Callithrix jacchus: one gene and its partners. The protein of the gene in region 6 interacts with the protein of the main gene of each other region in a pairwise test. Links are inferred from orthologs where the notes say so. Each region holds a gene or a part of one and is shown on either strand. Other genes may lie near its edges.

Evidence for each region.
Region 1: the proteins of CCHCR1 (region 6) and CCDC136 interact in binary tests that used the Homo sapiens proteins (3 or more experiments, as listed by UniProt). The link is inferred for Callithrix jacchus from reciprocal best matches to the Homo sapiens genes CCHCR1 and CCDC136.
Region 2: the proteins of CCHCR1 (region 6) and NDEL1 interact in binary tests that used the Homo sapiens proteins (3 or more experiments, as listed by UniProt). The link is inferred for Callithrix jacchus from reciprocal best matches to the Homo sapiens genes CCHCR1 and NDEL1.
Region 3: the proteins of CCHCR1 (region 6) and MIA2 interact in binary tests that used the Homo sapiens proteins (3 or more experiments, as listed by UniProt). The link is inferred for Callithrix jacchus from reciprocal best matches to the Homo sapiens genes CCHCR1 and MIA2.
Region 4: the proteins of CCHCR1 (region 6) and NUP62 interact in binary tests that used the Homo sapiens proteins (3 or more experiments, as listed by UniProt). The link is inferred for Callithrix jacchus from reciprocal best matches to the Homo sapiens genes CCHCR1 and NUP62.
Region 5: the proteins of CCHCR1 (region 6) and RBM17 interact in binary tests that used the Homo sapiens proteins (3 or more experiments, as listed by UniProt). The link is inferred for Callithrix jacchus from reciprocal best matches to the Homo sapiens genes CCHCR1 and RBM17.
Region 7: the proteins of CCHCR1 (region 6) and SMARCE1 interact in binary tests that used the Homo sapiens proteins (3 or more experiments, as listed by UniProt). The link is inferred for Callithrix jacchus from reciprocal best matches to the Homo sapiens genes CCHCR1 and SMARCE1.

Annotation. Positions count from the first base shown.
Region 1 is NC_133512.1:118,372,540-118,376,039, forward strand, and holds part of CCDC136 (coiled-coil domain-containing protein 136), read right to left. Parts: intron 1,808-3,500; coding exon 1,613-1,807; intron 1,114-1,612; coding exon 886-1,113; intron 1-885. UniProt on the Homo sapiens protein: May play a role in acrosome formation in spermatogenesis and in fertilization.
Region 2 is NC_133506.1:74,958,185-74,962,250, reverse strand, and holds the start of NDEL1 (nuclear distribution protein nudE-like 1), read right to left. Parts: upstream 2,801-4,066; 5' UTR 2,654-2,800; intron 2,447-2,653; exon of another isoform or gene 2,048-2,446; intron 1,947-2,047; 5' UTR 1,827-1,946; intron 1-1,826. UniProt on the Homo sapiens protein: Required for organization of the cellular microtubule array and microtubule anchoring at the centrosome. May regulate microtubule organization at least in part by targeting the microtubule severing protein KATNA1 to the centrosome.
Region 3 is NC_133509.1:73,965,949-73,969,448, reverse strand, and holds part of MIA2 (melanoma inhibitory activity protein 2), read right to left. Parts: intron 2,161-3,500; coding exon 2,114-2,160; intron 1,352-2,113; coding exon 1,261-1,351; intron 1-1,260. UniProt on the Homo sapiens protein: Plays a role in the transport of cargos that are too large to fit into COPII-coated vesicles and require specific mechanisms to be incorporated into membrane-bound carriers and exported from the endoplasmic reticulum.
Region 4 is NC_133523.1:43,702,823-43,706,836, forward strand, and holds the start of NUP62 (nuclear pore glycoprotein p62), read right to left. Parts: upstream 2,801-4,014; 5' UTR 2,644-2,800; exon of another isoform or gene 2,512-2,643; intron 2,354-2,511; exon of another isoform or gene 2,162-2,353; intron 1,215-2,161; 5' UTR 1,147-1,214; exon of another isoform or gene 1,103-1,146; intron 182-1,102; exon of another isoform or gene 46-181; intron 1-45. UniProt on the Homo sapiens protein: Essential component of the nuclear pore complex. The N-terminal is probably involved in nucleocytoplasmic transport.
Region 5 is NC_133508.1:7,706,231-7,710,491, forward strand, and holds the start of RBM17 (splicing factor 45), read right to left. Parts: upstream 2,801-4,261; 5' UTR 2,665-2,800; intron 1-2,664. UniProt on the Homo sapiens protein: Splice factor that binds to the single-stranded 3'AG at the exon/intron border and promotes its utilization in the second catalytic step. Involved in the regulation of alternative splicing and the utilization of cryptic splice sites.
Region 6 is NC_133505.1:35,967,947-35,971,446, forward strand, and holds part of CCHCR1 (coiled-coil alpha-helical rod protein 1), read right to left. Parts: intron 3,071-3,500; coding exon 2,960-3,070; intron 2,852-2,959; coding exon 2,745-2,851; intron 167-2,744; coding exon 54-166; intron 1-53. UniProt on the Homo sapiens protein: May be a regulator of keratinocyte proliferation or differentiation.
Region 7 is NC_133506.1:92,613,396-92,617,695, reverse strand, and holds the start of SMARCE1 (SWI/SNF-related matrix-associated actin-dependent regulator of chromatin subfamily E member 1), read right to left. Parts: upstream 2,801-4,300; 5' UTR 1-2,800. Other genes in the region: keratin-like protein KRT222, read right to left, coding at 3,303-3,531. UniProt on the Homo sapiens protein: Involved in transcriptional activation and repression of select genes by chromatin remodeling (alteration of DNA-nucleosome topology).

The DNA of each region.
Region 1 (3,500 bases), on a different chromosome or scaffold from region 6:
AGGAAATATTTTATACCTGGTTCCCAGCTCTGTGTTACCCAGGCCTCCAGCCTGGACATCTGATGCCCCTGGAATATGATCCAGCCTCACGTTGACTTTTGCTACTCCCTGTTCTCCTCGTTCGGCTAAGATCTGAATGAGTAGATTCAGCCTAAATCGAAACTGTCTACCTGCCCTTCCTTGCCCACGCTGAGACCTCAGAACAACTTTATCCCCCACCCCTGAATAGAATTGTATGGTGATCTCCACCTGTGTCACCTCATCTGCATGACCCCTTGCTGGTACTTGAGAGGCATTGATTTTCTGGTCTAACCCCTGTGATCTTGCTCTGTTATTGCCACCAAAGTTCCAATAAAGATACTGTGGTCAGTACTAAGAACCTCATATGCTAGGAATTCTTCTTTTGTAAATGAAAGGAACCAAATTTGCCTCATATAGAACACCAAAGGTGATAGATTTCGATAACTGAGAAGTGTACTTTTCTACTCAAAAAAAAAAGATGACATGTTTAGAGTCAGTCCAAAGGAATCCAAACAAACACCAAACTGATACTATACATCTTACTGGGAATGAGTCAAATGATCAGATTACAGACTTTGGGTCATCCCAGCTCTGCCCTGAGTGCTCACAGTGCTTCAGCTAAGCACTGTGAATATAAATGTGACAAAAGATAATGGCATCTAGGTGAGGTCCTTTGGCCGTATCTAAAAGCCACCTCTTAATGGAGCCTATGAGTGGTCACAGCTGGTGAAGGGTAGAACTTTACCCTTATCCTTACCCATGGTCAAATAGGCCTTCCCAACTCTGACCCTTTGGCTGTGCCCACTCTCCCTGCCATGCTGTTGTGCTCAGGAGAACTGTCTCCCTAGCTCTTACTATGGTTACCTTGTTTCGATCACATTTTGAGGACTTAGCCAATTTGGAATCATCTGGATTCTCCAACACTTCCTGGAAATGAGATTCTTTGAAATGTTGCAGCTCTTCATATAGCTCTAATTGTTCTTTCAATACGAAGTCTTGGTTCTGTATCAGCTTCTTCTGTTCCTCCTGCATGCCTTGGTAGAGCAGCTGCAGTTCCCACAGGTCTTCTAACTTGGTGAGTAGCTCCTGACTCTGAGGCGAAGTAGAAGGAAGGAGGCAAGGGATTGTGGTGGTTACCACAAGGAAGTCTGATGCCTCCCTGGTGCCTCATTCCCGTCGTGAACATTTCCCTGAAGAATCTCTGGATTGGCTTCACAGAGCCCATCGGGGGACAGGGGGCCTTTCTATGGAGGCCTGATAAAAGTAGTAATGATCTCTTACGTTGGAATATATTTTGTAGTTTACAAAGTGCTTTCAGGTGCATTTTCTCCAGACGGACTAAATAGCTAAATATAAACTGCTGCACAGATTCCAGAGTGTAAAAAGGTATTTTAAGATTTGAAGGTCTTATAAGAAAACTCTAATTGGCTCTGTCGAGCTTTTTGGTTTGGGGAGAGTGGTGAGAAAGTAAGGAGTGGTTGGTAAAGAGAAGAAAAAGTTCAATCCCCATCCTTTTATGTTTCCCTGGTCACACAGGGAAGCTTCTCAGAGCAGCTTCCCCACAGTAAGCAGCTGCCTCTAGTGGAGTTACCTTGAGTAAGAGGCCACTCTTGGGCAGTGGCAGTGTGAGCCTGTGCAGCTCTTCCTGCAGCTGGCCCTGCTCCTCCTGCAACCTCCTCTGATCCTCCAGGAGCTCACACTGCTCCATCTGTAGCTGCCCGATCTCCTTCTGGCTGGCCTTGTACTTTTCCTGCAATTCTGTCAGTCTGGACAGCAGTGTGTCACACTGTGGGCAGGGGCGGGTGTGGAGCAGCTGGTTACTCTGTAAGGTAAGCTTCCTGGGGGGCTAGCACTTCTGTGCTCTCCTGCCTCTTGCGATTCTCTCCCTGTGCAGTCACCTTGGATGGGTCACCCCAAGCCACATCACACCCTGGCTGTTTAGATGCCAACTGGGGAGCCCCAGCAGGCTACTCTTTCAGAGCAGGCTGTTTTAGACTGGTAGCTGGCCATGCTCTAAACTTCTACCATTCCTTTCTGGGGGCAGTTTGATAGGGCCTGCTATCGATAACCCTTCCTCCTCATTTCCCCCTTCCTCTTCTCCGGCCCTTTCCTGTGGTGTGTATATCATACTTCCCTCCTGTCGGGAACTCTAGCTCCTGTTATTCTATTAACCCCAGTGGTTTTTTTAATATAATTACAATCCTTACTAATAAGGACTTAATTTTACCCTAATTTTTCCAATTTTTGCTTTCCTGATTCTCTCCTTAAATCTTTAGAAAAGTATGAGCTATTGCTCAATTTGGGTTGAGAAGACTAAATCATCCAAAATCATCCTATTTCCAAAAACCCAAATCTTCCAATATCAGACAGATCTCAATGCTGTTTTATGGCTAGAGAAAAAGCAGGTGCTGTCTGCCAGCATGCATCTCCTTTCCCATTGTTTTTTCCATTAGGGGAAGAGGTGATGAGCAAGTCACAGATCCCCTGGGCTCCTAAATTGAGTAGAAGTGGAGAAAGGAAGAAACATGAGCCTGGATATAACAAGGCAAAGAGACTGTTGAGGTGGCCCAAATAACTTTCCCAATCCTCTGTCGCTTGAAGGCCTCTCCCCAGGGACAGGAACTACTGAGTTTTCTGGCAGAATGTGACCAGCTCCACCATCTTTAGAGACTTTTGGGTCTCTTCTCCAACAGGCTTCCCATCAGTAATCAGGAACTGAAAGTGCTCAACAGGATAAATGATAATGGCTTGCACTTTATACACTACAGAAAAGAAAAAATAAATAAGGCCTTTTTTTTATCACTACCAGAATTTATTACTAAAAGGAAGTGAGATGAGAGTAGTATTCTCTTCCATGTAAAGAGGGCACAATTCAACCTTCAGGAATTTAATTACTGGCAAGGCTCGGTAGCTCATGCCTGTAATCCCAGCACCTTGGGAGTCGGAGGCCTGAGGTCGGGAGTTTGAGACCAGCCTGACCAACATGGCAAAACCCTGTCTCAACTAAAAATTCAAAAATTAGCCAGGCATGGTGGCATGTGCCTGTAGTCCCAGCTACTCAGGAGGCTGAGAAAGGAGAATTGCTTGAACCCAGAAAGGCAGAGGTTGCAGTGAGCTGAGATCGTGACACTGCACTTCAGCCTGGGTGACAGGGTGGAACTCCATCTCAAAAAAAAAAAAAAGAAAAAGAAAAAAGAATTTAACTACTTTGAAGTGACAGAATAAATCCTAGAAGAGCCTATGTCCTTCTTTTGCCCAATCAGCACTCTGGGCACAAGACCATACCCCCTTTTAAAAGCATTTGCAATCTGCCCCAGAAAACTAGCTCCTCTCTCTGGTTGTGTATATGGGCCCATGTATATGTTCTTCTCCACGAATGACTAGCTATCACTACAGTGCTAATACCACAGATGTAGAAATATCATATCTGTGTAAAACCTTCAGATGTTCAGACTGGGATCCAAATATACTGATCCTAC
Region 2 (4,066 bases), on a different chromosome or scaffold from region 6:
CAAAGCAAAAACTTCTTACTTTGTGGTCACACCTCATTTGTAATTGCTTCCTAACTGGTATTATCCAGCTCCATTACCCTACTTTTTATCTATGAGATTTACCCTTTTCAAAAATCAGATTCTGGCCAGGCATAGTGGCTCGGGCATATAATACCAGCACTTTGGGAGGCTGAGATGGGAATGTCACTTGAGTCTAGGAGTTCAATACCAGCCTGGACAACAAGCCGAAACTCCATCTCTAACAAAAATGAGCTGGGCGTGGTGGCACGCACCTTGTGGTCTCAGTTACTCATGAGAGTGAGGTGAGAGGATCACTTGAGTCTAGATAGTTGAGGCTGCAGTAAGCCATAGTCGTGCCACTGCACTCCAGGGTGACAAAATGAGACCCTGTCTCCAAAAAAGTAAAAATAAAAATCAGATTCTTTACAAATAGCAAAATTTGCTACCACTGCAGCTACTCAAAAGACAGTTTCAAGGACTGTTTTACAGTCTGTTCAGTTTGCTTCAAGTAACATTGGGAGGATGTGTTCACTGTGTTATTTGAAACTACGTAACTAGAGATATTCAGGCTATAGACAGTTAGCTAATATAGAAAACATATTGCTAAAACAATGTTCTAATGGTACATTCACAATTTTCTGAAACTAGAATGAAGACGGATAATTATGTATTATTCTCACCTGCCCCCACCCCATATTTAATACCAGGTCTCAATACCAACAGTCTCAAAAGCATGACAGTTTTTACAAAAAGCATTACCATACTGTGTATGACCTTCAGAAATCTAGCAACAATCAACTCATTTGGGTTTAAAACAGCCTGTCCAAAACGCCTTTTATTTACAAGGAATTACTCTTTGCACAATGGTAAGATAATCTATTTTAAATAATATTGTTGCTTGTTAACAGTTGTAAAATGGACTAGTGAGGTTGGAAGAGTTCTTCCAAAACTGACTGTTGGTAACACATGCCTTTTTACTGAAATTCTACTACTCGCAAAGGTGACATTTACAGAATTTTTAACTCCTCAAAGTTGATCATAAACATGGTCTCTCTGATTTTATCAGACTATTTTTTTTATGGAGTGTTTAGAAACTTACGTCAGAAGCAGTTTTAAGCTTTAGTAACCAAATTTATCTCAGCATGGTTTACAATGAAAATAAAAATAAATTGTTTTGCGGATGTCATGAAAGCAAGACCTAGGTTTTACTAAGGTTCCTACTTATTTTAAGCTCCTTATCCAACTTCAATTTATTTAATTTTAAAAATCCAGCCTGGTCGACAGAGCAAGACTCCGTCTCCCCCCCCCACCCCACCAAAAAAAAAAATCAAAAGAACTACAGCTTCAGAAGATTTAGCAACTTCTATCTGGATCAAGTCAACCTCTAACCAGGACTGGCCAAAGATTTTCTTTGTTCCTCATACATTCAAATTTTAAATAACAATAATCTTAATAATTCAGAAGATATATCTCTTAGTTTCCCTTTACTTCTCTTCAGCCCATGACTTAACGCTGCATTGTGCCCATCAGCTTCATGATTTAGCAAAGCCATTACCCTAGCTTTTAAGCACATTAAGTGCAACACAATTTATCAGACAAAATAATTAACCAGCAACTCCTGAACAAGCTTCACAGTAAGATTTTTCTCATGACTGAGCAGCAGTTTTTATCCTAGGTGAGTTTGCTCAAAAATAAAATCTGGCATATCTTGGCAAGTCACATTTTCTGCCTTGTTTTCTAGCTGAGAAGGATATAAAAATCCCACGAAAAGAAACCAGAACTCCGAGCCTAGAAATGTAAATTACGATCCAAGCTAAGCCACTCACCAGTTGGTTGTATAAATCAATTACCCCATCCCAGCTGAATGTCTCTATCCAAATGGCGATAACATAATCAGTTGCAACCACCAGGTGATGCGGTTCAAAAGAAATAGGAAGAAGAGTGTTCTGAAACGTGTAAAAGCGCTACGTAAATAGAAGGTAATCGTCAGTAGTGATAGAACTCTAGCTTCCTCTGCAAAACTTAAAAGGGTCATCTCGTGGCTTACAGAAAGAAAAGAGGCGAGCACAAGTAACCCGAGCCCGTAGGTGACACTTTCCCGACTCCAAGGGGAGGATGATTAGCAGTTCGGGGCGGAAGTCAGGGGAATGCCAATCCGAGCCCAACGTGGGCTGCTCGCGCTCTCGCCTCCCATGGGAAAGAGGCTCTGAGAGAATAAAATCCAACCCGGCTCCAAGCCACCCTCGCAACTGAAGGAATTTCGGGGAGAGGAGAGGAGGAGGGCTGAGCGCGCCGCTGCCACCTCCGACTGGGCCACTCCTTGCGCCGCCAGCGCCCGGGCTCAAGGTGCCACGTCCTGGCCTCCGTCACCGCCATCCCTCACCCCACCCCGGAACGGGGCACATCCTCCAGAGACCGCAGGGCTCGTTCTCTTGCAGGCGCCCCTGGGATGCCAACGTAGGAACAGGGAAGGAAGGGGACAGTTAGAGCGGTTGGAACAGTTGCCCCGGGCTACCCGCCCCAGAACCCCGCCGGGTCCGCCCCGGCGGAGCGTCAGACACGGCCCCGGGCCGGGCAGGCTCCCCAAGGGCAGGCCTTTGCGCCGCCAGCCCGGCGCAGCCCCTTAGGGAGTGGCCCTGCGCTGCAAGCTCACCTCCAATGTGTCAAAAGCGCATGTTCGCCGCCGCTCGACCGACGTCTCCGCTCCGCTGGCTTGGCCAGGCCCACCCAGCCTCTCAGCTCGGCTCCCCTCCGCAGCCCCGAGCTCCACTCCGCGCACCTCCGCGCCCGGCTCCTCCCCGACACGTCAGGGCTGCCTGGGTGTCCGAGGCCATTCTGTGACGCACGGAGGTGGGGCTCGGAGCATGCGCGGCAGCCCGCTGGTGGGAAGGGGGGCGGGGAAGGGCTGGTGTCACAGGGGGCGGGCCAGAATCCGGCGCGCTGACGTCAAATTGAAGGCGTCCTTTTGCGCAGGCGCCCCTGGACCCCACGACCCGCTGCCTTAGGCTTCTCCGGTTCCCAAACTGCTATTCCGGAGAGTGGCACCAAGACAGATGGGATCCTGCCTTTAGTTTTACGGCCACCAAGGCCCTTCAAGTGTCCATGTGTCAGTGTTCCCGTTTATAAAATGAATCTCGGCTCATAGTTCACCTTGGATTACATTCCCCCTGCCGAACACCCAGTGGAACACTAGGAGCATTCTATTCACTCTTCACCACGCTCACAAAGCTCTGTGTTGTTTTTACAGCACTTCCACTGCTTAAATTTTATACTTGTTCTTGTCTTCCTCCAGTAGAATTTTAAGTTTTATTAGAGCTAGAACCTCTTATGCCTTGCTCATCCCAACAAATAACTTGATTCTAGGCAAAGTGGACGCTCAGATATTTGATGAATGAATGAATGGATTCGTTGGCACCAAGAGGATTTCATATCTGCCCGTTTATATATTGTATATATCTGATCATACATTCATTTTTATATACATCCGTGTATTTGTGTGACTTTCTCCCCTCCAGGGCCCCCAAGAAATGGAGACCTACATATCTTTTATATATTTAAAATATATATACCTCTTACAATCCATCTTGCATTATTAATGTTTATATATGTTTTAGTATGTAAACACACGTACGTGTGTGTGTGTGTGTATACGTGTGTATTTCCTAATGGACTTGGAAGGAGGCTGGAGGAGATAGTGCAAAACAAAAAGAGGGATACGCAACTTACATAGAGAGTGGAAACTTAATGGAAGAGATACATTTTTAAAACAAGTTTAAGAACTTTTGCTGTATAATGTACGATGTAATCTTTCCTTTTGTATTTTAGAGGCAGGGTCTACTATGTTGCCCAGGCTGGTCAAGAACTCCTGACTTCAGCTCACACCTGTACCAGCACTTTGAGAGGCCGAGGCAGGTGAATCACTTGAAGCCAGGAGTTCGAGACCAGACTGGCCAACATGATGAAACCCCGCATCTACTAAAAGTGCAAAAATGAGCTGGGCATGGTGGCAGGCACCTGTAATCCCAACTACTCAGGAGGCTGAGGCAGGAGAATTGCTTGAACTCAG
Region 3 (3,500 bases), on a different chromosome or scaffold from region 6:
AATCTCCCATGACTTTTAGTACAATGCTTTATATACTCTCTTAAACTAATACTAATGTTTCTTAAAATCCAAAAATAATCCAATTACTAAAATCATGTGAGTAGGATACAACCATTTTTTTTTTTTTTTTTTTGAGACAGTTTTGCTCTTGTTGCCCAGGCTGGAGTGTAATGGCGCAATCTCAGCTCACTGCAACCTTCACCTCAAGTTCAAGCGATTCTGCCTCAGCCTCTTGAGTAGCTGGGATTACAGGCGCCCACTGCCACATCTGGCTAATTTTTATATTTTTAGTAGAGATGGGGTTTCTCATGTTGGACAGGCCGGTCTCGAACTCCCGACCTCAGGTGATCTGCCTGCCTCAGCCTCCCAAAGTGCTGGGATTACAGGCATGAGCCACTGCACCCAGCCAGGGATATGATAATTTTTAATAACCTCTATCTTTGGTGGTTCAATCTTTTAAAATAGTATTATAAATACAGTTCACTTACTGTAGAAGTTTTTGAAAATACAGGTAAGTGAAAAGAATATAAAAATCTGTCCACAATCCCATATTCAGAGATAATCACTACTGACATTTGAGTATGTCCTTCTGGTCTTTTTTGATGCAAATGTATATGGTAAATTTTTTTAATTTTTATTTGTACAAAATGAGATGCTATTTATCCCAACTTTAAAACTTTTCAAACATATTGACAGAACTTGTTTACTTTTTGAAAATACAAACACTATCTGCAAAATAAACATAAATGTTTTCAATTAAAACAAAAACTTCATTTCTACAAGTCTAACATCACTCTCGCATGTGCTAATATACTATGTATGTACATTAAAGGACTGAATCATACTGCAAGTAGTACCACTACTGAAGATCAATTTTTCAATTAACAAAGACTTTCAACATTAAAGTTGAAAGATCAATTTTTCAATTAACAAAGACTTTCAACATCAAGTTTCAATTTGCTACTTTTTAACATTTAAAACCATACCAAACACATAACAGTGTAATATATTCAAAGATAAATATGGTTTTACATGTTTTTCTAAAAAATTCACTAATTTCACATAAATGTAGAGGAAATTGGTATGCCTTTAGCAATGACAACTAAAATCAGGACTAATGTTTCACAATACCCAAAAGGAACAAAAGTTAAAAAAAAAATCAAATTGGATCTTCCCAAAATTTATTCAATTAATTTTTACCATTCTCTAAAAGGAGAAGTACTTAGAAAAACATTAAAAGTATGTATGTAGATGACCTACCTGTAAGCTCTTCCTTTGTCTTATCAACATCAGATAACTGAATATATATTTGGTTTCTTTCTCCTTCTAAGGTTTTTAAAGAAGCATTTAACTTTAAAGAAGAGAAGGAAAAAAGGAACATTAATCAGTTATACAGAAAAAAAAAAAAAAAACCTCATTATAACACCCCCAACACTTTTTAAGTTATTTTATCATTTTGATGAATTATCACCTGGAATACAGAAACCAATAATGCATCTTCCATCTTAAAAAACCAGCAAAATCATTAATACTTGTTAAGTCTCAGAACAAGGGATAGAGAAAAGTAGTGAATGCTTTTCACTGGATGCTTAAAAAGTGACTATTTTCATTCTATTTACTTTCAACAAAAGTTTTAATTAAAGCAGCCTTCAAACTACATTACCAAGACTTCATATAGATCAGCAAAAATTAGGAAACCTCCACTAGGGTGGAAAAGAGAAGAAATAAACCAGAAAAAAAGAAACCTAGTATTTACTTCTCAAAATAGGATATAGGGCAGAAGGGGTGAGAAAATATTTCGACTAGAAGAAAAAAGAATGATCGAGGGAAGTACAAGACAAAATACAAAAAACATTTTAAATATATTCATATCTGAAAAAATGAGTATAGAACTTGGAATTTTTTATTTTGATAAATTCTAAAAATTATATAAATTTATAAAGTTAATAATTAAAAGTAAAAAGCAATTGATGACAAAAATTCTGATCATTTATTGAATATATTTCTTTGGGAACATAAAATGGACTTTTTAAACAGTTACTAAGGAGATATGAGTTTAAACCATGTTCTCTTTCTTCCTCCCTATTCTTTACATTTATGTAATAACACAAACCTTAGCAGCATGAATCAGTTTCTTCAAAGCTCCTTTTGGAGGATTATCTACAGTGAAAATCAAAAGCACAACAATGATTTGGGAAAGTAGTACAATACGACAAAAGACATCCAAATAATTTTATCAGTTCACTCAACCAGAGACGTATAATCCCTCTTCTTGCTACAATAAACAATTTGGTATAAAGCAGAATGGCCTTGGACCTGCTCCCAGGAAGCTAAACAATAAAAGCACTGAAATGCCATACCATTTAACAAGGTTCTTCAGCTCCAACTCCAAGAGCAGAGTTATAGCAAGGATTCAATATTCATCTAAATATAGGCCACAATTGTTAACTATTCTTGGATTCTTACAGCATCCAAAATATGAGTAAAATTATAACCCAAGTTAAAATAACATTAAACAAGCATGAGGGAAAGGATTATTTTATACATAATGAAGTAGACATTAAAAAGTATATCCCTGAGACCATCCTGGTCAACATTGTGAAACCCCATCTCTACTAAAAACACAAAAAAAATTAGCTGGGCATGGTGGCACGTGCCTGTAATCCCAGCTACTCAGGAGGCTGAGGCAGGAGAACTGCCTGAACCCAGGAGGCAGAAGTTGCAGTGAGCCGAGATCGCACCATTGCACTCCAGCCTGGGTAACAAGAGTGAAACTCCGTCTCCAAAAAAAAGTACAAACAGAACTTTATATATTTATTTTAGGGATGTAATTTTTTCTAATATATTAATGTTATGAAAAAAATTTTGAATCACACTTTTTCCTCCTTAATAAATGTGTTACTTATACGGGGGCTAGGGAAGCAAACAGAAAAATGACATAAAAGTCTGAAGAACTACCACTGGGGTCAAATGAGAGAGGGGTACATGGAACCTCTGCACTAGTTTTCAGACTTCCTATGAAGCCGTATTTCAAAATAAAAAGTTTTTTTTAGGTCAAAGGAATTGGTGTGAGAATACAAAGTGGCTATGGTGAAACTAACTTTTGCCAACTTTAGAGCACAACCAGCAATGGCAATAACAATCTGGATGCCTAAGATTAAAAGTAGTGTAACCATCTGAACCTCTGACAAAAGCAAAGGAAATATCCTGAAGTATTCATTTACAGAACATTCATTTTTCAAACTAGTCACTCATCCATTTGATTAGCTTACAGTACAGGGGAAAACAGGCATTGAAATGATTATACTATAATTTTGAAAATTGCTCTAAGAAAGATATGTATAATATATACAAAGGAAACAGAGTGGGGAGGTTGTGTGTCTGAGCAGTTGGAGAAAGACTTACTGAAAAGGCAGTACTCCTGCTAAAGTTAACTATACAGGATGGTGAGAAAAGACAGTGTGTTGCAGACAGACAGAACATGCCAAAGTAAAAGCATA
Region 4 (4,014 bases), on a different chromosome or scaffold from region 6:
TCGGCAGGGGTGGGGGGTGGGTATGGCACAAGCGTGCCTTCTTACCACTGCCAGTCGGTCCAACAGTCTACCCTTAATTCCATCTGCATTTGCTCAAAAACCTGTACTGAGAAGTGGAAGGAAGTTGGTCCCGAAATCTCCTTTGTAAATTGGATGACCAGTCATAGTTTGAAAGCACTTACTGCACAGGAACAGAAAGAGAACACATCCACCTTAATTACAGCAATACAGTAACCAGCTTTTACGCAGCACCTACTGTGTACCAGGCAGTCTTTAAACCTCGTAACAGCCTTAAGAGGTAGGAAATGTTTTTGAGACAGGGTGTCACTCTGTCCTGAAGGTTGGAGTCTGGTGGCCCAATCTCGGCTCACTGCAACCTCTGCCCCTCCCCAGGGTTCAAGTGATCTTCCTGCCTTAGCCTCCCGAGTAGCTGGGACCACAGGCGCAAAATACCACACCCAGCCATTTTTTTATATTTCTGGTAGAGATGGGGTTTCACCAAGTTACCGAGGCTGGTCAATTTCTGACCTCAAGCAATCTGCCCAGAATGCTGGGATTACAGGTGTGAGCCACTGCACCTGGTCCAGCAGCAGGCACTCTTAATGCCACTTTGTACTAAAGGGGAAACTGAGGCACAGGGAAGGGAAATGACTAGGGCCGCACAGCTAATAAGTGGGGTGCAGTTAGGTTTTGAACTCATATAATCTGGCTCCAGAGTCTACGCCAGGGATGGATACTCTTTTGGCTTCCTGGGCCCACACTAAAATTGTCTTGGGCCACACATAAAATACACTAACAATAGCTGATGAGCAACAGATAAATAAATACAACTGCAAAAAAATCTGCATAATGTTTTAAGAACGTTCTGGGCTACATGTGGACCCCCGGATGGGACAAGCTTAGTCTGTGCTCTGAGCTGCTAGGTTACATACTGCATAGGTGATAACACAGCCCCTCAGCCAAAGGAAATACAGGACAAGTGCTCAGAAACTGGGAGAGTGGACAGTAAGTGCTCCAAGAGAAGGTGGTCAGATCCCGAGAAGGACTTCCTGCCTGCCACAGGGAAGGGAGGACAAAGAAGTTTGTGTGTAACGCTCAATACCAGGGTTCCTACACCTTCTCTGGACCCTGATTCACTCTCTTAACTGCCACAGAAGAGATGAAGGTTGAACTCCAGCTGGGATGTCCTGATGTGGATTGGACAAGGTGGCTTTCTGCAACAGAGAAAAGACCAACATCCACTTCAGCTGGCGGAGGGCCCAGTGCAGGAGAAGGGGCAAGATGGCTACCCTGTCTTTGACTAAAGGAAAACGGAGATCTTCCATTTTTGGCAGGCTTGGGAGACAGCTCCTATCCAGTGGAGGCTAAGAAAGCCTGTCTGAAAGGAAGCCAAGGCAAGGGATGGAGAAAAGAACGAAGCTGGGGCCTCGATGCATGAATCCCTGCCAGGGGATGGGGCCTGGGCACCCATCCTTTGGAATGGGAGGTGAGGACGGCTGGAAGTGGACACTTTGGAGGAATGAGGGAGACAGAAGAATGACCCACCAGCAGGTGTTGGACAGTCCAACGCCTGCGGCTCTTGCAAGCAGGGAGGAAGAAGTGAGACTGGGCCCCAGAGTATCTATTAATAATAAAATATGGCTGCGCACGGTACTTCACGCTTGTAGCCCCAGCACTTTGGGAGGCCGAGGCAGGTGGATCACAAGGTCAAGAGATAGAGACCATCCTGGGCAACCTGGTGAAACCCCGTCTCTATTAAAAACACAAAAATTAGCCCGGAGTGGTGGCTCGTGCCTGCAGTCTCAGCTACTCGATAGGCTGAGGGCAGAAGAATCACCTGAACCTTAAAGGGGGAGGCTGCAGTGAGCCGAGACTGTGCCACTGCACTCCAGCCTGGGTGACAAAGCGACACTCTTTTCTCAAAAAAAAAAAAAAAAAAAATGTTGAACAGGAATGTATGAGTTGAACTCTGGGCATAAAGCTTGGCGGACACATTGTCTTGAGTCTCATAAATCCGCTACGAGAGTTGATTTTCTTATTTTGCAGACAGGGAAACGAGGTGAGGGAACTTATTTGCCCGAGGCCACCCTGGCAGGTCTGCGTTGCGGAGGGGGCTGTGACTCATGCTGGACTCTAACCCACGAGGGTTCTAAGGGTCAGCAGTTGGGGGATGGAGATGAAAAGTGTGGCTGGCAGGAAATTCTGGAAGCAGGGAAAGGGAAATTAATCGGTGCGAGTCTGCGGGAAGGGAATGAAGCAGGCCCAGACCTCAGAGGCAGAAAGAGAAACCAGAGCCTAGAGTCAGGAGGAAAAACCAGACCTCGGAGCCACAAGCAGGAGAGGGCCCGATCCTGTGAGTGGGAAGCAGGGAGTCGGATCCTCTGATCCCCACGAGGAGGGGACCGGGCTGCCTCCCGCTTGGGGCCGCGCGAGGGCGGGGCGCGGAAGGATCCGGGAGGGCCGTACTGCGCCACCCCGGGTATATCTATCCCCAGTCCCCGGGGCCGCCTCATTCCCCGACCTCAGTTCACAGTCTTCTCACTAAGCGTCGCCTCCTCCGCCCGCGTAGCCCCGGCCATGGCTCTGTAGCCGCGACCCCTTTGTGCCCCCAGCCCGTCTCCGCGCCTGCGCTCTCCGTCCCACCTTCTTTCTTCAGCCGAGGCCACCGCTGCCTCTTCCTGCCGCAGCCATGGAGTGAGTAACCGCTCGCCTCTCCTTGTCCAACCGCCTTTCCCGCGCTTTCGCAGCTCGTGGCCCTCTTTAGGAAGCCCTGGGGGTGGGGAACCACGAGCGGAGAATCACGGTCGCGCAGGCGCGGAAGAGGGACGGTGGGCCGAGGGCGCGCGGGTGCGCATGCGCACTGGGCCCGGGGCCGGGTGGGAGAGTTCTAGACTTGGTGTTTGTCAGCCCGCGTGCGGCTGCGGCTGCGCATTCCAGGGAAGGGTGTGCTTTTTTCTAAACGATTCTGTGCGTGCTTGGTTGCTCTTGCGCAGTAGCCCACTAGTGCCCCGTATGAATGAGCGGCGGGTCCTGTGCGGCGTCACACACGCGCATTGATCCCCAGGAGGGCGGCGGTGTAAAAGCAATTGGACCGCTCCGGCGGCGGAGCATGCACTTTGGCCCTCGGGGGCAAAGCCATGTGTAGACGGGGCGTTCGGGTAGCCATTCTCTGCCAATCCCCTCTACCCTCCTCCACCTCTCCGGCTCCACGTTGCTCTGACTCACAGCACAGCTTTCTTTTATTTCAACTAGGCACCTGCTGAGGCGGGGACTCACGTAGATTGACAGGGCAGAAGGCGGGGCTTAGAGGAACCCCTTTAAACGGGTGGAACCAGAACCACGTCGTCACGATGGGTGGGACTTAGGGAGTTCATTATGAGAAGGGGCGGGGCCAAGGCAACCATTAGCTGAGGGATGGGACAAAGAGGCGGGGCCTCTAAGGAATCGGGGGCGGAGCTAAACAATGAGGGGCGGGGCTTGGAGGGGCAGTGGGAAGGCGAGGCGTGGGATTTGAGTGGATAACATTAAAAGGCTGGGATCTGGGACGGTTACCCTGGGAACTGATTTGGGATGGAAACTAGGAAGGCAGTGGGGCCAAAAGGAAATATTTTAGAGGAAGGGGCGTGGCTGGAAGAAAATGTCCCTAGGATTGAGTTTTTCTATGAAGCGAAATATTCTGAGGTGGATGGGAGGGGCCTAAGGTAATTCCCCCGGGACACCCTTAGGTTCCGTATTGGGGGAAGAGGTGGGGCATCGGTCCTATAAAGCGAGTTCCTTGGTGGTGTGTGGGGCTCAGAGATTTGGGGAAAGAAAGGACAAATTTAGTATTCGGAGAGGGCGAGGCTTAGTCCTAAACCCTGGTTTGAAGGGGGAGGAAGGAACCCCATGGACGTACCTGGGGCTGTGGCTTGGCTTCCCTATGAATTTTGGCTGGTGGGCGAGGCTGTTCCTGACCCCACCCACTCTTGTCTCACGCGTGTAGGTCTTCCACTTTCGCCTTGGTGCCCGTCTTCG
Region 5 (4,261 bases), on a different chromosome or scaffold from region 6:
TAGCTTAGCACCATGCTTGAACATTGCAAGTGGCTCTATTAATATTTTCTAAACATGTTAGTGAATGGATGGAAAATGTTAATGCACCTATTTAAATCACAATCTGCTTTTTTTTTTCAGACAGAGTTTTGCTCTTGTTGCCCAGGGTAGAGTATGATGTTGCAATCTTGGCTCACTGCAACCACCATTTCTCCTGCCTCAGCATCTCAAGTAGCTGGGATTAGATGCATGTACCACCACACTTGGCTAATTTTGTATTTTTAGTAGAGTTGGGGTTTCTCCATGTTGGTCAGGCTGGTCTCAAACTTCCGACCTCAGGTAATCCATCCACCTTGGCCTCCCAAAGTGCTGGGATTACAGGCGTGAACCACAGCACCTGGCCACTGCAGATCTGCTTTTTGAGGACATAACTTAAGATAAGTAGGATAAAATTTAAGTTGTAAGCCATAATTAAGGAGAGAAAAACTACCACCACCACACAACCAATAGTAGGTCAAGGTCTGAGTTCTGAGCACCTAAAGAAGCAGGCGTGTTAGGAAGAAATATTTCTATTACTAAATAGATATTCATGCATCATAAAACAAAGCATACCTCTTTGAAACCTAAGGAATATGGTAAGACTGGGCGAGGTGGCTCGCACCTGTAATCCCAGCACTTTGGGAGCCCAAGGCGGAAGGATCACCTGAGGTCAGGATTCGAGACCAGTCTAGCCAATATGGTGAAACCCCATCTCAACTAAAAACACAAAAATTAAGCTGAGCGTGATGCCGAGCGCCTGTAATCCCAGCTACTCAAGGCCGAGGCAGAGAATCATTGAATCCGGAAGCGGAGGTTGCAGTGAGCCAGTTGCGCCGCTGCACTCCAGCCTGGACCATACAGTAAGACTCCGTCTCAGGAGAAACAAAAAAGAATATGGCAAATACACACAGAAAGGAACAGGAGGGGTGGTGCACTTTGATGTCCACAAAAAATACGGCAAAAAAGGCATCTACCTCATGTATAAGATCTACCATAACTTTCTAAAGAACTGAAAAAAATTTTCCCCATACCTTCATCTGCCCTTGACAGTTTAATCTTTCCATTCATTCTCACAGTCTGCTACTCTCAAAATGCCATCGGGTAGAATTGCAAACACAGTCCAATAGAGTCACCTATAATTTAGGAGCGTAACAGAACATTCTTCACTATTGACTATGATGGAAGGCTTGAGAGATGACTAACCTGGGATCATCTGCTCCCTGCTGCGGGGAGGTCTGAAAAACTCATATGCAGAGGAGAATGAAGGTAATTTAAAACAAACCAGGTAAAAAGAAATCCACTTTAAATAAAGCTGCATTTGGGAGTGTACAACAATCCTCTCAAGAGCCTCCAGAAAGGCTGTCTTTGGTTCCGCAGAGGTCCACGATCGCACAACCTGCTGTTACAAACTGGACAGCACGCAGCACCTTGCCTAACTAACTCTAAAAATAAAGCCCTCTCGTTTAGCTCATAAATTGTTACCCCATCATCCCTAAAAGCTGTCATTACGATCAAAATGTCTGCAGCCTTTACCAACTAGAAATCTGGAAACTGAGTTGCATCCTTTAAAAACTCCATCTGTTGCAGGGAGCCAGTGCTCATGTACCCGTCTATTTGAGTATATGCGTATCCTGCCCTGATCTAGAATATCCTATTTTCCATCCATATGCCAGGCTCTAGCAATAAGGATCCTCAATGGCGCTCCTTTGCTGCTCCTCAAGAAACCTCCATGTTCTGACCGGACGACTCCTCGAAACACAGCACCCCCTCCTGAAACCTTCCTCTCTGCCTCACCTGCAGCTTCCAGAACGCACTACGGCGCTTCACTTCTGCTACTTTCGCCGTGACTTCCTCCGCCAGGAGCCTTTTTTCCCACCTCGCACATCTAACAAAGTACCTTCAAGACTCAACATAAGCATCACCTCCTCTCTCAAGATCTCGCGTCCTTCACCAAACCGAGCCTGGGTTTCCACGCCTGCTTTCCCAGAAACCAAACTCCTGCAAGCAAGGGCAGAACCTCGCTCCACCTGCATTCTCATCATTTCCCATCCTCTGGGCAATAGGTGAAGCTCAAGGACTGCCTGGGGTCGGAAGTGCGCGCTGAAACACCGCTCAAACGGCACGATCCGAGGCGACGCCGGGGTCCGGGCTGCCTTCCCGTCTCGGGGAGCTCCGGAGTCTGGGAAACGCCAACGTCTGCACTCCCAGTTCTGAGAGCCGGGGAAGAATCGGCTCCTTTCTCTGAGCCCGGGAGAGAGGCAACTGTGCGGGGCCAGGTTGGGGGACACGCTCCGGGTCTAGGGACCGGGCAACTTCGTCAGGACGTGGTGCACGAAGTGGAGGCGAAACGCTCTTCAGGGCCGAAGAGCCCGAGGCAGACAGGAGGAGGAGGGGAAGAGGGAGCAGGCCAGAGCCCGGGTCACCCGAGGCGGCGGCGGGCGGAGTGTACCGGGCCACCGCCGAGCGGAGAGGCCAGGGCCCGCTGCGGGGACTGAGACCCGCGGAGGCTCGGGTTGAGATGGCCCGGCCCCCACCCCTCGCGACGCGGCCTAAAGCCGCGGCCTCGCGTCCAGCGCTTCCCGGGAAGGCGCGCCCGCTTCGGGTCCCGCCAGGCCGCCCCCCTGGGGCCGCCAGGGCGCGACTTACCCGGCCCGCCCAGCCGACTCTGCCCATGGGCCGCGGCGGCGGCAGCGCGGAGCCGGGCGGCACTCCGCGGAAACCCGCCGGCGGCAGGAGCCCTTGGCGGCGCCCACCCTTCGCTGAGTCCTCAGGGCGCTCGGCTGCGCGGGGTCAGAGAGCGCGGGCTGCCGGGAGAGCGCGCCGCGCCTGCGCCTGCGCCTGCGCCTGCGCCTAGGCCTGCTTTGGCCTCTGCGCCTGCGCCGAGGGCTCCTTGCCGCACTGCCCCCTGCCCGCGGGAGGACCGCACTGCACGCTCCCCTCAGCAGGCGTCCTCTTCTACCACCAAGAGGTGTCGCCTGGGTGCACGTTTTCGAAATTCCACAAAGTTTGAGGAACGCGCGGCAGCGCCCCCAGATGGTAAGAAGGAGAAGTGGTCCGAGGCCGCGCTTTCTGATTGGGGGAGGTGGGGGAGTGAGTGTCTCCAGGTCTCTCGATCTCATTCATTCAAAAGCAAAAAGTTGAAAATAAATCTGCATAGCCGAGATGCTGGCAAAAGGATGGCAAGGAGCACGGGGTTGAGCATAAGATTAAGGAAACAGATGCCGCGATTGGGGTACAGAAAAGAATGTCAATGCTATAAAGCCTCGATCTTTAACAACAACGTCGCTGACAGAAGTAGGGAGGGGAAGGGAACGTGGGACTTCGGGAAAATGTGATTTTTACATCTGTAATTGGGTGTCAAATAGAGTTCAAGCCGATAAGTCAAATAGTAGAGATTTAAGCAGACGTCTTAGTCCGAAGGAATATACCAAGATACTATAATCCATTAAAATCCAGTGATTAAGAAAATGAGAAATGAGAGGAAAAAAAGAAATAGAATGGAGAGGCAAAAGAAAACCAAAGAAATAGAGGATTAAGGACGTCATGGGATGGCATAATTCTGAGGGCGACGCAGAGCAAAACTACAAATCTTTCAAATAATACACACACACACACACAACCACAGCAAAACAAACAAAGCAACGTAGGGAAATATTTGAAAAAGTTACAAAACAGAAAGCATAACCAAACTATATGACAGAACAAGACCAAATGTCTCACAGGAAGAAATATAGACCTAAGCTTAGCTATTAAAAAAAGGCTCAGATTGGAACACAAACCATCGTGCAACTAAATGTTGTATAAAAGAAAGTGCTGGCCGGGCAAAGTGGCTCACGCCTCTAATCTCAGCACTTTGGGAGGCCGAGGCAGACAGATCACCAGGTCAGGAATTCGAGAGCGGCCTGGCCGACATGGTGAAACCCCAACTCTACTAAAAATACAAAAAATTAGCTGGGCGTGGTGGCGTATGCCTGTGATCCCAGCTACTCGGGAGGCTGAGGCAGGAGAATTGCTTGAACCTGTAGGTGGAGGTTGCAGTGAGCCGAGATCACACCAGTGCACTCCAGCCTTGAAAGAAACTCTGTCTCAAAAAAAAAAAAATAAAGAAAGTGCTGAAGCAAAGTTATTCTGAGTTTGAAAATACAAGACTGGAAAGGATATGCCAAGGAATATGCAAAAAATAAACAAAAATCAGGAATCACAAATAACTTAAGGTTGATTTCAGGGCAAAAAGCATTAAGTA
Region 6 (3,500 bases):
AGTCTGAGCTGGTGGGGCAGGAGCAGGATGTGGCTCGCAGTCGCCCTACGCACCCCGAATGGTGTGGACCTTGCGGACAGCATAGCTGAGTCGGTTGCTGAGGCTGGGAAGCTGGGCAGCAGCCTGTTCCACCTTGGCCATGGTGCTCTCGAGCCAGATCTGAGAGCTGGAGAGGGCACAGGTCACTGACCCTCCATGCCTCCCTCATTCCCAAAGGACTTGCTGTGTCTTGTATAGACAATTCCCTTTATCCTATCCTGTTATACAAGTAAAGAATGCACAGCTTCTGTCAATTTTCTAAAGGGTCCTTGCCCCAAGAATGCATTAAATGACTGTATCTTTTCAAGCAAACTGTTAAGGTTATTTCTTACAACCTGTGTTTTGCACACTATTATGCATCAAAGATCAAAGTCATCCTCTTTGGCAGGGGTGGGGGCTCCCGCCTGTAATCCCAGCACTTTGGGAGGCTGAGGCAGGAGGATCATGTTAAGTCAGGAATTGGAGACCAGCCTGGCCAACATGGTGAAACTCTGTCTCTACTAAAAATACAAAAGTTAGCTGGGCATGGTGGTGTGCGCCTGTAATCCCAGCTATTCGGGAGGCTGAAGCACTTGACTCTGGGAGGTAGAGGTTACAGTGAGTCAAGATTGCACCCCTGCACTCAAACCTATGTGACAGAGCAAGACTCTGTCTCAAAAAAACAAAACAAAGTTATCCTCTCCAACAAGCCCAGGGTGTCGATCCTCTAGCACCAATGATGGGCAGGTCCACGTGCTTTACCAGCTTTTACCAGCTGGCTGTGCCAAAAGCAGGACCAACCTGGCTCACGAAAACCGAGCAGCTTAAACAGACCGTGGGAGGAGGCCAAGGGAGTGTCTAGGGCCCGGCTGGGGTTTCCTCACAGAGTTCAGGTCTGCATCCACAGAAAAACACATGATGACGAAGGCTGGCAGTTGTATTCCCAGCAGCACAGCAAAGATCACTTTGATCTGGAAATTGAATAGCTTCCAACACCTACCACAGCTCTTATTAAAGCCATTTTCTAATGAAGTCTCCAATTACCTAGAGACAATCTAATAAACCCAGAAACAATCCAAGTTTGGACTGCTTTAAGCCTGGAGGACTTTTGGCAGTGCATCATTACACACAACCACTTCTGTGATCTCATGGTACCAAAGTCAAACCCTGTCCACAGAACATGTTTCTGTTCTGGAGATAGGAGGCACATGCAACGGATTGAACCTGGGTGGCAGGTCATCATAACTAGTCTAATTCTGTGCATGTTTGAAATTTTTCAATAATTTTTTAAGCTGAATCAGTTCCCAAGGTACAAATCCAAGAGAAGGAAGTGGTGGGCAAGAACTCATCCTGCATCTTAATTTCACTAAACCAAAAATTATCTTTATCTCAATTATCTAACCCATAAAGAAGAGCCTCAAAGATAACAGTAAACATGCACAAGCCAGACACTGTGCTAAGAACTGCCTGCCTTGGGCATCTCAATGTCTAAGGCTGAGGGGAAGTCATCACCAGCACAAAGAAGCTTTGCTGTTTCCTTAGAGGTTTTTCTGAAGGTCACAGAACAATTGTTGGTAATGAAACAGCTAGGCAGTTGGTATGAGAGACAAAGGCTGGCAATTGATTTAGAAGGAAACTAACTGGCTTACATTTTAGAGGGAATATCTAGTAACCAAGTAAGTACAAAGCTTTAAATAAATAGACTAAGCCGGGCACAGTGGCTCACACCTATAATTCCAGCACTTTGGGAGCCAGAAGTAGGTGGATCATCTGAGTTCAGGAGTTCAAGACCAGCCTGGTCAATATGGTGAAACCCTGTCTCTACCAAAAATACAAAAATTAGGCCAGGCACGGTGGCTCATGCCTGTAATCACTTTGGGAGGCCAAGGTGGGTGGACTGCCTGAGCTCAGGAGTTTGAGACTAGCCTGGGCAAGATGGTGAAACCCCATCTCTACTAAAATACGAAAAAAAAGAAAAAAAAAGAAAATTAGCTGGGCATGGTGGAATATGCCTGTAGTCCCAGCTACTCAGGCAACTGAGGCAGGGGAATTGCTTGAACCCGGGAGATGGAGGTTGCAGTGAGCCGAGATCATGCCACTGCATTCCAGCCTTGGTGATAGAGCAACTCTCCAACTCCAAAAAAAATCAGCTGGGCACGGTGCTGGGCGCCTGTAGTCTCAAGCTACTCAGGAGGCTGAGGCAGGAGAATCACTTGAACCTGGGAGGCGGAGGTTGCAGTGAGCTGAGATTGCACCACTGCACTCCAGCCTGCATGATAGAGCGAAACTCTGTCTCAAAATAAGTAAATAAATAAATAGACTAAATTTTTCTGCAGTGAAACAGGGAATGCCTGTAAAATTTTAGAGAAGGAAAGGAATATGACGAAGTGTCCACACTCTCCATCCTTGAACAATGCTGCAAGTGAAGATCCTCCCAGGTGCTCTATGTAGCTCAAGCTATTACTAGACTGAACTGCAGGAGGAAGTAAGGTCTCACCTCCAGCCCAACATGCAATGGGGAATTCATAACAAGTAATCAGGTATGAATGCAGAGGGGGCTGCCCCAGGAAAAGAAACAAACACAGGAACTTTGATAGGGCTAAATGTGCCCAGCGCTGTAGCCTCCTGTAGCCTCCAGTGGCCAGCTTTCCAGCCCCTCTTGTCTGAGGCTCCAGAAAACTGAAGTGGCAGAAACAGTATTCCATCCACCCCTCCATCCCTGATACCTGCTGACAGCATCGACCACAAGCCTCAGCTGTTCCTCGGCTGAGGCTGTCTGCTGCTGCCACCAGCGCCTGGCCTCATGAGCACGGCTCAGCTCCAACTGCAAGGCCTGGGGAGAATGCAGCAAAGGACAGGGTCTCTCCCTGAGTCCTGGGTGCAGCCCCAGACAAGGGGCTCCCTTGCCCTCCCAGAGTCTCTACTGGGCTTAGACACCAACCTTGGCACCCATCCGCTCCACCTCTGCCTCTGCGGCTTTGTCCTGCAGGGATTGCTGCAGGATGGCCTGCTCCTGGCTCTGGGCTGTCACTTGTTCCTGGAGTGAGGCCACCTGGGAGAGGAGAGGGAGCTGGGCAAGGCCTTCTAGAGCTAAAAGCTGAGGGGAGCACTGGAAGCAAAGTGGCAGGTACAGAGATCTCTGCAAGAATGCCATGCAGGGGCCAGGCGAGGTGGCTCATGCCTGTAATCCCAGCACTTTGAAAGGCTGTGGCAGATGAATCACTTGAGTTCAAGAGCAGCCTGGACAACATGGTGAAACCCCATCTCTACAAAAAATAGAAAAATTAGCTGGGTGTGGTGGTACCTGCCTGTAGACCCAGCTTCTCAGGAGGCTGAGGCAGAAGAATCACTTGAACCCAGGAGGTGGAGGTTGCAGTGAGCTGAGATTACGCCACTGTACTCCAGCCTGGGTGACAGAGAGAGTCTCCTTCTCAAAAGAAAAAGAAAGAAAAGAGAAAGAAAGAATGCCACGCAGGAGACCG
Region 7 (4,300 bases), on a different chromosome or scaffold from region 6:
AATGCTGGGATTATAGGCATCAGCCGCTGTGCCTGGCATACAGAATATTTTAGTACTTTAAAAGCTATCATGACAGAACAGTTCAAACTGGGTGAGACTTATTGGGAAAGAATTGCTTTTCTGGCAGTAATTGAAAAATTAAAAATAGTATCTTGTCCGGGCACAGTGGCTCATGCCTGTAACCCTAGCACCTTGGGAGGCTGAGGTGGGCAGATCACCTGAGGTCAGGAGTTGGAGATGAGCCAGGCCAACATGGTGAAACTCCATTTCTACCAAAAATACAAAAATAAGCTGGGCATGGTGGCATATGCCTATAATCCCAGCTACTGTGGAGACTGAGGCAGGAGAATCGCTTGAACCTACAATGGGCCGAGATCATGCCACTGCACTCCAGCCTGGGTGACAGAGTGAGACTCAGTCTCAAAACAAGCAAACAAACAACCCCAAAAACCAAAATAGTATCTTTACCCGTTGTGTTTTGAATTATTACTTAATCATTGTCAGCTATAATTTTCCCCACAAATTCTCTGAAGACAGTTTTCTTCCAAATAGTACTGTGTATCTGAGCAGTGCTTTACCAAATATTTTTGCTTGTATATTATTTCAAAGAATTGTAAAATAGGCAGAGTAGGAATTATTACCCAGCATTACCTTTTCCTTTGTTTTCAAATGTAAAACTTGAGACGTAGGAACTTAAAGTAGTCCCTCCTGGTTACAGGGTTAATTAGTGACAGAGCCAGGGCTAGGATCCTACAGTTGTTAGTAATTGGAATAACTCTTCAGTTTTGTATTTTGTTATGCAAGCATGCATTTGTAACATTTCCAAGCGATTCAAGAATATTAATTTCTACTCTTGTATAAACCAAGGATAATATTATTCATGTTGTAGGATTGTTGTAAGGAAGGATTAGGGATTCAACACAGTGACTGCAGCTGAGTAAGTACTTTGCAAATGGTGCTGCCATTATTATACTTTTCCCAGAATTATAGGATTATGTGATTATTTTGATTAAAAAAAATTAGAATAAAATATAAATATACCATTTTAATACTTTCTTTTGTAAAACAAGTTAAAAACCATTATCTATCTACTGTGATTGCAGGTTTTTTAATTCCCCAAATGAACTAACCATATTGGAGTAATTAGTTCTTTGCTTCACTTAACCATGCAGAGATACTTTGAACTTAAAGGACTGTGTTCAAACTCACATACAATGCAGCTTTAGCATTCATGTTTCAATTTTTTCAATTTTTCATTTTTATTTATTTTTACCTTTTATAGAGATGGAGTCTTGCTATATTGCCCAGGCTGGCCTTGAACTCCTGGGCTCAAGCGATCCTCCTGCATTGGCCTCCCAAAGTGCTGGGATTACAGGCATGAGGCACTGTGCCTGGTCGTGTTTTGCTTTTTTAAATTGTGTTAGTATCATTACCTTGGTAAATTCATATCCCAATTTAAATGCCTCAGAGTGAATAAAACTTCGTTATAAATTCAAGAACTGTATTTTTAAATGTACATGTTATATACCCCATAGATACATACTGAAATCACTACAAGCAGTTACATTCATGACACCCAGTACTAAGTTTTTTTTAACACTGAAATACATGATGCTAGATATATTGCTTTATTATGATCACTGCTGCTTCGTACAGTAACTTTAGTACAATAGCTTATATGATTGCATTTTTAAAGCTTTAATAAAGCTAGTAGCATTTAGCAATATTGAATGAAACATTTTTTCATGTATAGGATGTATTTTAGGTCAAATGCTTATGCAAGAATAAGCACTTAACATGCTGTTATATCCTTGACAAAACAAAATCATCCCTTTTCATTAAATAGAATAAGCCAGACTAAAAGGAATCTGAAGTAATTGAAAGAAAATTAAAAATTTTTATCCCTGTATTATGTTAAATATTAAAATAATATAATATTTTCCTGGTTAAATCATATATTTTTTCTGGTTGAAATACATATATATATGTACATATATGTATATATGTACAGAGAGAGAGAGAGATTTTAAAGGCTGCAAAGGCTGTACTAAAATGCAAACATAGCTGGAGCCCTTAGATGATACTTTAGCTGGGAAAAAGTATGGTGAGTTGTACTCAACTACTTTTTCTGCTTAGAAAAAAATTAAGAGCTTATACATTTCTAATGTCTTAAAACAGGTATTTATTATTTAAGATCTTAAATATACCTGTATTAAATTAGGTTATTTTAAAAACTTTGCAACAATACCTCACTTATTCACAAATATATTTTCTACCCATATTTATTACAATTTGAACAATTTAAAAACAAATCCTGCAAACACTCTTAGCTTAGATAACAATTACTGTTATCTTAGTTCACATGAATGATTGCAAGAAATATTTATAATACTTTATATAGTATCTTATCTAAGGCTGATAGCAAACACTCTAATCACATTTGGCTGTACAGGTGGAAAAACCGGGATGGCGGGTAACTGTTCTGATAATGATAGTAACTACCTTTTCAATTTGCTTTTCATATTTTGTTTGTACAGTTGGCCTTCTGATTTTTGTCTTTTTTTGGTGGGGGATACAACCTTTAAAGTTCTTTGAGTAAAGTAAATCTTCTGGAAATCAGATACTTATTTAAAAAACATTTAGATATGTATAGATTAACTTAATTTTACTTATCCAGTTAGCCTTGGGGTGTGTTCAATAGTTTGCTCAGAATTTCTCATGGAAAATAACTCTTATTTTTCTGAGTATATAAATGATTTTCTAAAAAGGAAGAATTCTCGTTAAGTGAATAGTGAGTCCCCCTTAAAAAACTTGTTTATAATTGCTGTTTTTGAAAAATAGAACAAACATTGTAGGTTTAACTAGTCATGGAATAATGATGAATAACTCAGTGTGACTCTTAACATAATACAATCTTACTCAAACAATTCTTTTTTCCTTAGAGTGTTCAGCCGTTGAAAAAAATTACAAAGACTTTACTAAACCAGGTTAATGCTTACAGTCTCTGATGAAGTTTCAAGGGAAAAAGAAGACTATTTGGAAAATAAGAAATAGACTGTACTGAATTTGTGATTTTATTTTTAAGCTACCCCCTCATTTATATATATATATATATGTATATCTCCATAATTAGATTCAGAGAAATGTCCTTAACTGTTTTTTTTCTTCTGAAGAGAACCACATATTGATCATAACCTTTTCCATACATACTTAATAACTTACATTTTGGGACAAAGGGAGTCGGTGTGGCCCACCTTGGACCATCCTAACATTTTCAAATCAAGTCAAATACTATCTTTGGATTAATCAGCTGTCGATGGAGGTTTGATAGAGGGAATACTGCATGATCGTCTCATGATAAGCCTGACTTCTATATCTGGTAGATTATCCTGCTTAGTCTGTAAACACCCTTCATCGGTGGCTGCTAAATGAAGATCAAATCGAAGAGAAACAGATTTTTTCCTCAATCGAGGGTTATCTTTAAAGAAAGAACCTTCCCATTCTTTAATAACTTCATCCACTTTCTCTGTCCTGAAATGATAAAATAAACCTTTTAATATAAAGAAGTATGGGTCTATTAAAAATATATAATATGTATTTCATATCTATGAAAAAATCAAGAAATTTGTATAATTTATAGTTTGTAGAATTTTTTTTTTTGAGACGGAGTTTCGCTCTTGTTACCCAGGCTGGAGTGCAATGGCGTGGTCTTGGCTCACCTCAACCTCCGCCTCCTGGGTTCGGGCAATTCTCCTGCCTCAGCCTCCTGAGTAGCTGGGACTACAGGCGCGCACCACTATGCCCGGCTAATTTTTGTATTTTTATTAGAGACGGGGTTTCACCATGTTGACCAGGATGGTCTTGATCTCTTGACCTCATGATCCACCCGCCTCGGCCTCCCAAAGTGCTGGGATTACAGGCGTGAGCCACCGCGCACGGCAGTTTGTAGAATTTATAATATACTTACTTTGAAGTTCATATGAATAGAATTTCCAAGGAATTGTATGGAATTTCTCTGTAGGAATTCTCATGTTCAGGTTGTATTTTTAGAAAAAAATGGCGAATTAAGGATTAAGTAATCTTCCATGAGTTTTTATGTATATATGTCAGATTAAAAATCACAGTAAAAGCTGGGCATGGTGACTCACACCTGTAATTCCAGCACTTTGGGAGGCTGAGGTGGGTGGATCACAAGGTGAGGAGATTGAGATCAGGCTGGCCAACATGGTGAAAGCCCATCTCTACTAAAAATGCAAGAAAAAAAAAGAAAGAGAAAAAATTACTGGGCAGGGTGGCACAT